Linked DNA regions of Oryctolagus cuniculus. The protein of the gene in region 2 purifies or fractionates together with the protein of the main gene of each other region. This does not show direct contact. Links are inferred from orthologs where the notes say so. Each region holds a gene or a part of one and is shown on either strand. Other genes may lie near its edges.

Region 1 (4,352 bases), on a different chromosome or scaffold from region 2:
GATCTCTCTCTCTCTCCCTCTCTCTAACTCTGCCTTTCAAACAAATAAATAAATCTTAAAAAAAAAAAAAAAAAAAGAAAGACATCTCTGGCTCCTGCTGTGAGCAGGGCCTGGGTTGTCATTGTTTTCTGGGTCTTCCATAGCCCCCATCAGAGATTAGTTTTATAAATGACCCTAGTGAGGTCAGTTGGTGGGCTAAGTACAGCGGCTCCTGCCTTCCCAACTGAGGCTTACAGGGAGTGGGATCCAGAAGATCTGTTAGTTCATCTTTCTGAAATTATGACAGTACCACCCCCCCACCCCCGGACAGCTCAAGTGCTGATGGACTTTCCAGACCTTGGTGTCAGCCCAGCCTAAACCCTGACCTCTACATGCAGACCTGAAGCTTGCTGCCAAGGCCACTGTGCTGCTGGATTTGTGCCCTGACAACTACCCACCCCATCACCAGCACGGGCGTGTTCTCTGCCTGCCATGCATGGGGCTGGGATGGGGGACGGATCTACTCACCACGAAGGGAAATGTGTGGAGCCATCAGGTGTGGATCCATTCTGGCCGCCCAGACCTGAAGGCAGGAACACAGCCAGAGCTGCAGTAGACTGGGGGTGGGGATCTGGGCAAGCATCAGCCCAATTCAGGGTAGGGGCCGCTAGTGGAATCTGCCAGGGGTCCTGAGTCTGGTGACGGTTCTAGAGATCAGTTACAACGTGATGGGCGGAGCGGTGGGGATTCTGGCATAAAATGATACGGTATGATAGCATAGGTCAGGGTAAAATACTAAGTTCTGACGATCTTGGTGGACTTCTGGTAGTCTAGGGGGATTCTGAGGAACCCAATGGTTCAGTCTGGTGGGGGCGGGGGCGGCCAGCTCACGGAGGTTCATAGGGAGCCTCACCTGGGCGGTGATACAACCCGGTCACCGTGTTCCCGTAGAACCCCCACGCCAGCTGGATGCCCAGGAGACTTAACACCAACCACAGCAGCAGCAGTTTGAAGAGGGTCACACGCATGTCCTGCGCCTCCCACTCCCGCAGAAACTCGCTGCCCAGCGCGCCCAGCGCGCCTAGCACCGTGGCCGGCAGAGCCTGCAAAGACTGTCCAGACCAAGACTCCGCCATGACCGGCCCGCGCCCCACCCGGGGTACTGTCACCGTAGTGCACACCGCGCAGGCGTAAGGTCTTCCGGGGCTAGGCCCGTTAGTGCGCACGCGTAGAACCAGGCAGGGCGGGCCTACCTCGCTTGGGCGAAGAGTTGGCAGTTTAGGGAGGAGTATTAAAACCGCGCACGCGCACTTAGCCCCACCCTACTCCCTTAAAGCATGAGTGACTCCCGGAGTATAAAATAGCAACCGGGTCTTTTATAGCCCCAGAGTTCCCGTGATGCCCCACGCGGCTGTAATGATTGGTTGAGCGTCTTGCTTTTAGGGCGTGGACGCGCGCCTGAGCTATCGTGGCTGAGATGTGAGTGTGCGCGCGCGCGCGGGGCCGCGACCAGGGCCGGCTCGAGCCCGCTGGGCGCTCGGGGACGCGCACGTCGCTCCCCGCCCTCCCGCCGCCGCCCGCCCTCGCTCGCTCGCGCTCCCCGCCCGCCACCCGCCGTCCTCCGTCGGTTCTCTCGGTAGTCCGCCGTCGCCGCCTCAGCTACCCGCCCTCGTCTCCGAGCTTGCGACTCGCGGACAGGCGTCCTCGGCGCGAAGAGGCCGGACTCGGAGTCGTCGCCCGAGGTGAGCGGGAGGATCCCCTCCTGGCGCCCCGGGCCCGCCCGCCCGCCCGGCACTTTTCCGGCCGCCCGCCCGCCCGCCGCCCCGCCGCCCCGCCGCGGCCGCGCCCCACCTGCTGCTCCCGCCCGGCCGCCCCCGGCCCCTGACCCTCACTCCAGCCCGGGGCCCGCGCCCCGCTCCCGCGGCCCCGCCCGCGCCGGCCCCGGAAGCGCGCCCCGCCGCCTCCAGCGCCCCTTCCCCCGCCCGGCCGGGCCTGCTGGAGCCCCAGCCGCCCGCCCGCCCCGGAGCTTCCTCTCTCACGGCCGCGCGGGGCTGGGCGGGGGCTCCTGGCCGCGCGGCGCGGCGCAGCCGGCAGCCGCAGAGCGCTCGTGGCTGTCGGAGTTGAAACGGGAGAGAAACTCTTTACAACTCCATTTTACCTTTTCCATCTGCTGTAGCACATGAATCACCGTTTTATGCAGAAGTCCGGCTGTGCTTTGAATAGATTTGCCTTTTTTTTTTTTTTTTGATGCGGTATGCTTGGAGAGAGTCTTAAGTAAAAAAGCTTGTGTTGAGGTCTTAGGACTGCTGCCTGAATTGGGGCGGAAAAGGGTGTTTTCCAGTTGAAAATTTTTAATGATTTAAACAACGTTGCATTAAAATGCAGGTAGTTTTGCCTGTGGAAGTTGCTGCCTTTTATTGGGACTCACCTAAACATCTGCCCCTGGTTTTGGATAGGATACACAGTTACAGGGTGTCTGCATTAAATAGCATTGTTTGCCCCCAGGTCGATTTCGTTAAATGCAGTGTTTTGTCATTTCTGGTGGAAGCTTGCATCCTTTTTACCTCCGTGTTGCTTCCTGTTGTGTTTCCTAGTAGTCCTGTTCTCAAAATGTTAGACTCTGTTGGTCACTTGTTCGGTTATTTCTGCCTTTAAGACGATCTTTTGAAGTAAATGTGTCTTGCAGGTGTGCAATCAGATTAGATTCCTCTCTGCCAAATCTGAAGGGGAAAAAAATGTCAAAGCCCCAAACCTCCATATTTTAAAATGGTGTATATGGTGAGACTTTTTCAGCCACTTAGTGTCACACACCCAGGCTGGGTTGGTGGAGATGTTGTATGTGGCACAAATGACATTGTTTGGGCTGAAACTTACAAAGACTAGTCCTTAATTGAAGCATCTCTTGATAAATTTCTAGAGACCCTTTAAAACTACAAATCTAAGGTGAATTTTAGACTCCTGTGAGTCTATGCCACTTGTCATTGTCACTAGTAGCCATAATGCAGTTGGACCCAATGTGTTGTCTATAGCAGTCCATCAAGTCCAAATCAATTCTAAAAGTTTAGGTTAGGTTTAGGTTAGTTCCATCTACTTTTGTAGAGCACTTTATGGCTCTTGGGGACATAAAATATGTAAGATGGAACTTGGTTTTAGTCAAAGTCTAGTACTAGGTTTACTGTCCTCATAAAAATCTGTACTGGAGAGAATAGAGTAGGATTATAACATCGATCAATTATCTTCATAGACCTAGTACTAAAATGAATTAAAATCATGTAGTCCAATCACATCTGCAGATGAGGAAACTGAGTCCCAGAGACTTAATTAAGCAGGATCATACTGGTATTATCTAGCTAGAAGCAGGCCAGAACTGTTTGCTCTGCAGGATATTCTCAAATACACTCCCAAACAGCTGGACTAGAGTCAGCTAAACTTTGGGACTTACTCTACCGTTTTTTCTTTTATACCTTGCTGACTTTACATAGATTGGGAGAATGTGAAAATTGATTTGCCAGCCAAATTTCAGTTCCTTAGCTGTCACAGCACTCTCCGTAACGGGATGGTTCCGCTGCAGTCACTTGTGAGAAATACCTGAATATACCTGCAAGGTCCTTGGCTGCCTATTCCTGGCTTTAGGTGTTTGGGTCTCAAGCGACCAATTTCCGGAGAGAGGCCCAGGCCTGGCTGCTCCAGAACCAGCCTAATGAGGTCAGGCTGAGATGTTTTCAGACAACTGCGGGCTCTTTTGCTGACTCCTGATAGGGGCAGGCTGAGGAAGGAACTGTACATATCAGGGTAACAGTCCCCTGTGCACATGTGTGTTGTGGTGGTTTTTGTTAGAGTATTTTCATAGTTTTGGTTCCTATGCTGTCAGCCAGTTAAGTTTTAAAAGTTTATCCTAGGTATATGGGGGCGTGAGTTATTAGGAAAGTAAAAACGGGCAGATCTTAGGTGTGTGTTGTCGATAGGGTGATATGCAAGTGGTTAGTTGCTACTTTGGGTCTTCTTAATTGTCTTTATTTTTTTTTAAGATTTTAAAAATACATATTTATGTATTTGCAAGGCAGAGTTAGAAAAAGAAATCTTCCATCTGCTGGTTGGCTTCCCAAATGGCTAAAACGTCTGGGGTGGGGCTGGACCAAAGTGGGAAGCCTAGAACTCTGTCCAGGTCTCCCTGGTGGGTGGCAGGGGCCTAAGCACTTGAACCATCCTCCACTGCCTTCCCAGGCACATTAGCAGGGAGCTGGATCAGAAGTGGAGCAGCCAGGACACACTTGTGTTAGCGAGCTGAGAGATATATTAACTCTGAGAGCTAAACTAGAGAATTAATTTGGGCTTGCTGGACTTCTACAGATAGCACATTGGGTTTAACAGAA
Region 2 (3,624 bases):
AGAGAGAGAGAGGTCTTCCATCCGATGATTTACTCCCCATTGACCGCAATGACCGGAGCTGTGCCCATCCGAAGCCAGGAGCCAAGAGCTTCTTCCAGGTCTCCTATGTGGGTGCAGGGGCCCAAGGACTTGGCCATCTTCTACTGCTTTCCCAGGCCATATCAGAGAGCTGGATCGGAAGAGGAGCAGCTGGGTCTAGAACCAGCGCCCATATGGGATGCCGGCGCTTCAGGCCAGGGTGTTAACCTGCTGCGTCACGGTGCCAGCTCCATGAAATTGTTTTAAACTAAATCACTTTATATATATATATAATATCCTTCTTAGAACAAAATATAATCATTCTCAAAAAAATATTTCTTTCTCATTTATATATTAATGTTTTCTATTATTTCATTTAAACATCCTATTTAAATTCTAGTCAGTTACTACTTCAGAGATGAATCCTAAATAAAAATATTTCTAATTATAGGCTCTTCATCCTTTAAAAGATAAATCTTATAGTATTAGTTATGATAATGTTACTAATCATGTTGGTAAACATTAGAAAATTAAGTGTTTTCCAGTTTTCAGATAGATTTTCTCCTGTTGGTCTTTGAGATATTTCAGTTCTATTTAAGAGGTATACATAGAGTTTTGGGAAATTTTGAGCCAACATTTAAAATTAGTATTATTCACAAAAATGTTTAGATTTCTGCATTCTCTTATGTCTGCAGTTGGCTGGAACTAAGCAGTAGCAGTCCTGTACTCCCTTGATTAGTTTCCTCTTGACCCATTAAATTCATTTGTATTACTTGGATGGCCACTGTAGCATGGAAGTTTGAGTTCTTTTCTCTAAACTGATCCTTAGCAAAAACTACTCAATAATATACTGTTTTTCTGAGACTCTCTGCTAATGACAAAGTCTTTTTTAAAAAATCACTTTTGTTCCACATATGTTTACCATTTTTTAAGCACATTCAGAGGCCCTATTATTGTTCTGTTTAGTTGGCCCAAGGAAGAAACAAAAGTCTTCAGACTAATATTTTATGTGATTTATTTTTGATAAAAAGATGTATATTTTCCAGATTAAAGGGTTTGTTCTTAGATACTAATAGAAATAAAATTAATACTATATTACTGCTAAGTGAAGACTGGCAATAGTGTAAGCAGAAACTGATAAGCTTGTACAGTTTCAAATAGCTGTTCCATCATTGAGAATTCTTGCTGTTTTTCTATTAGAATGTTAGCTTTAAGAATAGCTATCTCTCTATCGGACATTAGTAACATTAGTAACTGAAACTTTGTTCTTTTCATTGGATTCATTATTTTCTGTTAAGCAAATACTGAGCCAGATTTTTATAGTGTAGGAATTAGGAAAATGAATAGGAGCGTTGAGAGGGACAAAAAATAATTTTAATTAGAGAAATTTATTAGGCTTTGCAAAGGAGATGGATTTAAAATTGTTTTGACATTTGCCTTTTAAAGTACTAACAAGATAACATATGGTTCATTGTCTTTCTTAACAGAAGGAGAAAAAAGAGAAGAGGAAAAAGAAGCAGAAGATAAGTCACAACCAAAATCAATCAGAGAACGACGGCGGCCAAGAGAGAAAAGAAGATCTACAGGAGTTTCATTTTGGACACAAGATGTAAGAATCTGTTAAAATACAACTATACAACTGCTTGATAGTATGCTTTATGTTTTCAAAAATACACATTAATAATTTCTAGTGTGACAGATTATATATTCTTAAATCATCACTGTTTTCTGAGTTTGGTTGTTAAATGAAAGTTCTTCTAAAGTTACTTGGATTTTTGGTACTACTTAAAAAACGTGAGTTCTGGGGCCAGCTGTGATACAGCGGGTTTGAGTCCTGGCTGCTCCACTTCTGACCCAACTCATGCTAATGTGCCTGGGAACGCAGCAGAGGATGGCTCAAGTCCTTGGGCCCCTGTATCCACATAGGAGACTGGAAGAAGCTCGTGATTCCTGGCTTCACATCAGCACATTTCCAGTCGTTGCAGCCATTTGGGGAGTGAACCAGCGGATGAGAGACCTTTCTCTCTCTCTCTCTCTCTTTCTCCCTCTCGTTCTACCTCTCTCTGAAACTCTTTCAAATAAATCTTTAAAAAAAAAAAAAAAGTGTGAGTTCTGTCCCTGTTGAGTTCTTTCTCAGTTTTGGAATATTAATGGCTGCAATTCAAACCACATATATTTTTTATTATATCCTGGCTAAATTGGTCCTTTACCTTAAAGGTTCTTGTAAGAAACATGCATTGTGGGCCAGCGCCACGGCTCACTAGGCTAATCCTCCACCTTGTGGCGCCGGCACACCGGGTTCTAGTCCCAGTCGGGGCGCCGGATTCTGTCCCGGTTGCCCCTCTTCCAGGCCAGCTCTCTGCTGTTGCCAGGGAGTGCAGTGGAGGATGGCCCAAGTCCTTGGGCCCTGCACCTGCATGGGAGACCAGGAGGAGCACCTGGCTCCTGCCATCGGATCGGGGCGGTGCACTGGCCGCAGCGTGCCAGCCACGGCGGCCATTGGAGGGTGAACCAACGGCAAAAGGAAGACCTTTCTCTCTGTCTCTCTCTCTCACTGTCTACTCTGCCTGACAAAAAATTAATTAATTAATTAAATTAAATTAAATTAAATTTAAAAAACATGCATTGTATTTAATCCAATTTTTACAAATATCCTTAAAAGACCTACATAACTGAATTATTTCTATCTCAAGGGATGCTGGATAGAAGCAGTACTTTACTTAGAAAATTTTAACAATCCTATAAAATTAATTTTTTTCCTGATCCTTCATTGTATGCTTGACATTGCTTTTCAGATGTAAGAGACAGAACTGTAGGGTAGCACTGCTAATATGAAATTTGTATTCTTTCAATATAACATATAACTACAGAAGAGCAATAATTTGGCTTTTTAGCCCATTTTTTCAAAGAAAAACTTTTATTGAATTATGATATGTAAGGAAACATAGTTCAAACTGTATAGCTTTATTAATTAACACAATGCAAATGTACCTACGGAGTCACCACTCAAAATGAGAAATAAAAACAACAATGCAGATGCCCCTATCTTCTCCCTTTCATTTCCTATGTTCATTTTCAAAGTCAACCAGTATTCTGACTTCCAATACCATAATTAACTGTTGTTTTTGAGGAGCATATGAGTGATTTTTTTAAAGATTTATTTTATTTATTTGAAAGAGTTACAGAGAGAGGTAGAGACAGAGAGAGAGGTCTTCCATCCACTGGTTCACTCCCCAGATGACCGCAGTGACTGGAGCTGCGCTGATCCGAAGCCAGGAGCTTCTTCCGGGTCTACCACCTGGGTGCAGGAGCCCAAGGACTTGGGCCATCTTCCACTGCCATCCCAGGCCATAACAGAGCTGGATCAGAAGAGGAGCACCCAAGACTAGGACTAGCGTCCATATGGAATGCTGGCGCTTCAGGCCAGGGCTTTAACCCACTGCGCCACAGCACTGGTCCCCATATGAGTGATTTTTAACTCAAAATTATGAGTTGCATTCAGGCCATTGGATGTAGCAATGCATGTACTTTTATTTCTTAAAAGTTTTTGTGTTTTTAATCTCTAACTCTCTTCTTCCATGGAAAGAACATGGGATCACCTGACTT

Evidence for each region.
Region 1: the proteins of PPP1R12A (region 2) and RHOA fractionate together in Homo sapiens (co-fractionation; 3 studies listed by BioGRID and IntAct, with this or other methods). This does not show direct contact. The link is inferred for Oryctolagus cuniculus from reciprocal best matches to the Homo sapiens genes PPP1R12A and RHOA.

Annotation. Positions count from the first base shown.
Region 1 is NC_091441.1:99,831,014-99,835,365, forward strand, and holds the start of RHOA (transforming protein RhoA), read left to right. Parts: upstream 1-1,444; 5' UTR 1,445-1,721; intron 1,722-4,352. Other genes in the region: TCTA (T-cell leukemia translocation-altered gene protein), read right to left, coding at 508-562, 893-1,115. UniProt on the Homo sapiens protein: Small GTPase which cycles between an active GTP-bound and an inactive GDP-bound state.
Region 2 is NC_091442.1:82,588,543-82,592,166, reverse strand, and holds part of PPP1R12A (protein phosphatase 1 regulatory subunit 12A), read left to right. Parts: intron 1-1,505; coding exon 1,506-1,627; intron 1,628-3,624. UniProt on the Homo sapiens protein: Key regulator of protein phosphatase 1C (PPP1C). Mediates binding to myosin. As part of the PPP1C complex, involved in dephosphorylation of PLK1. Capable of inhibiting HIF1AN-dependent suppression of HIF1A activity.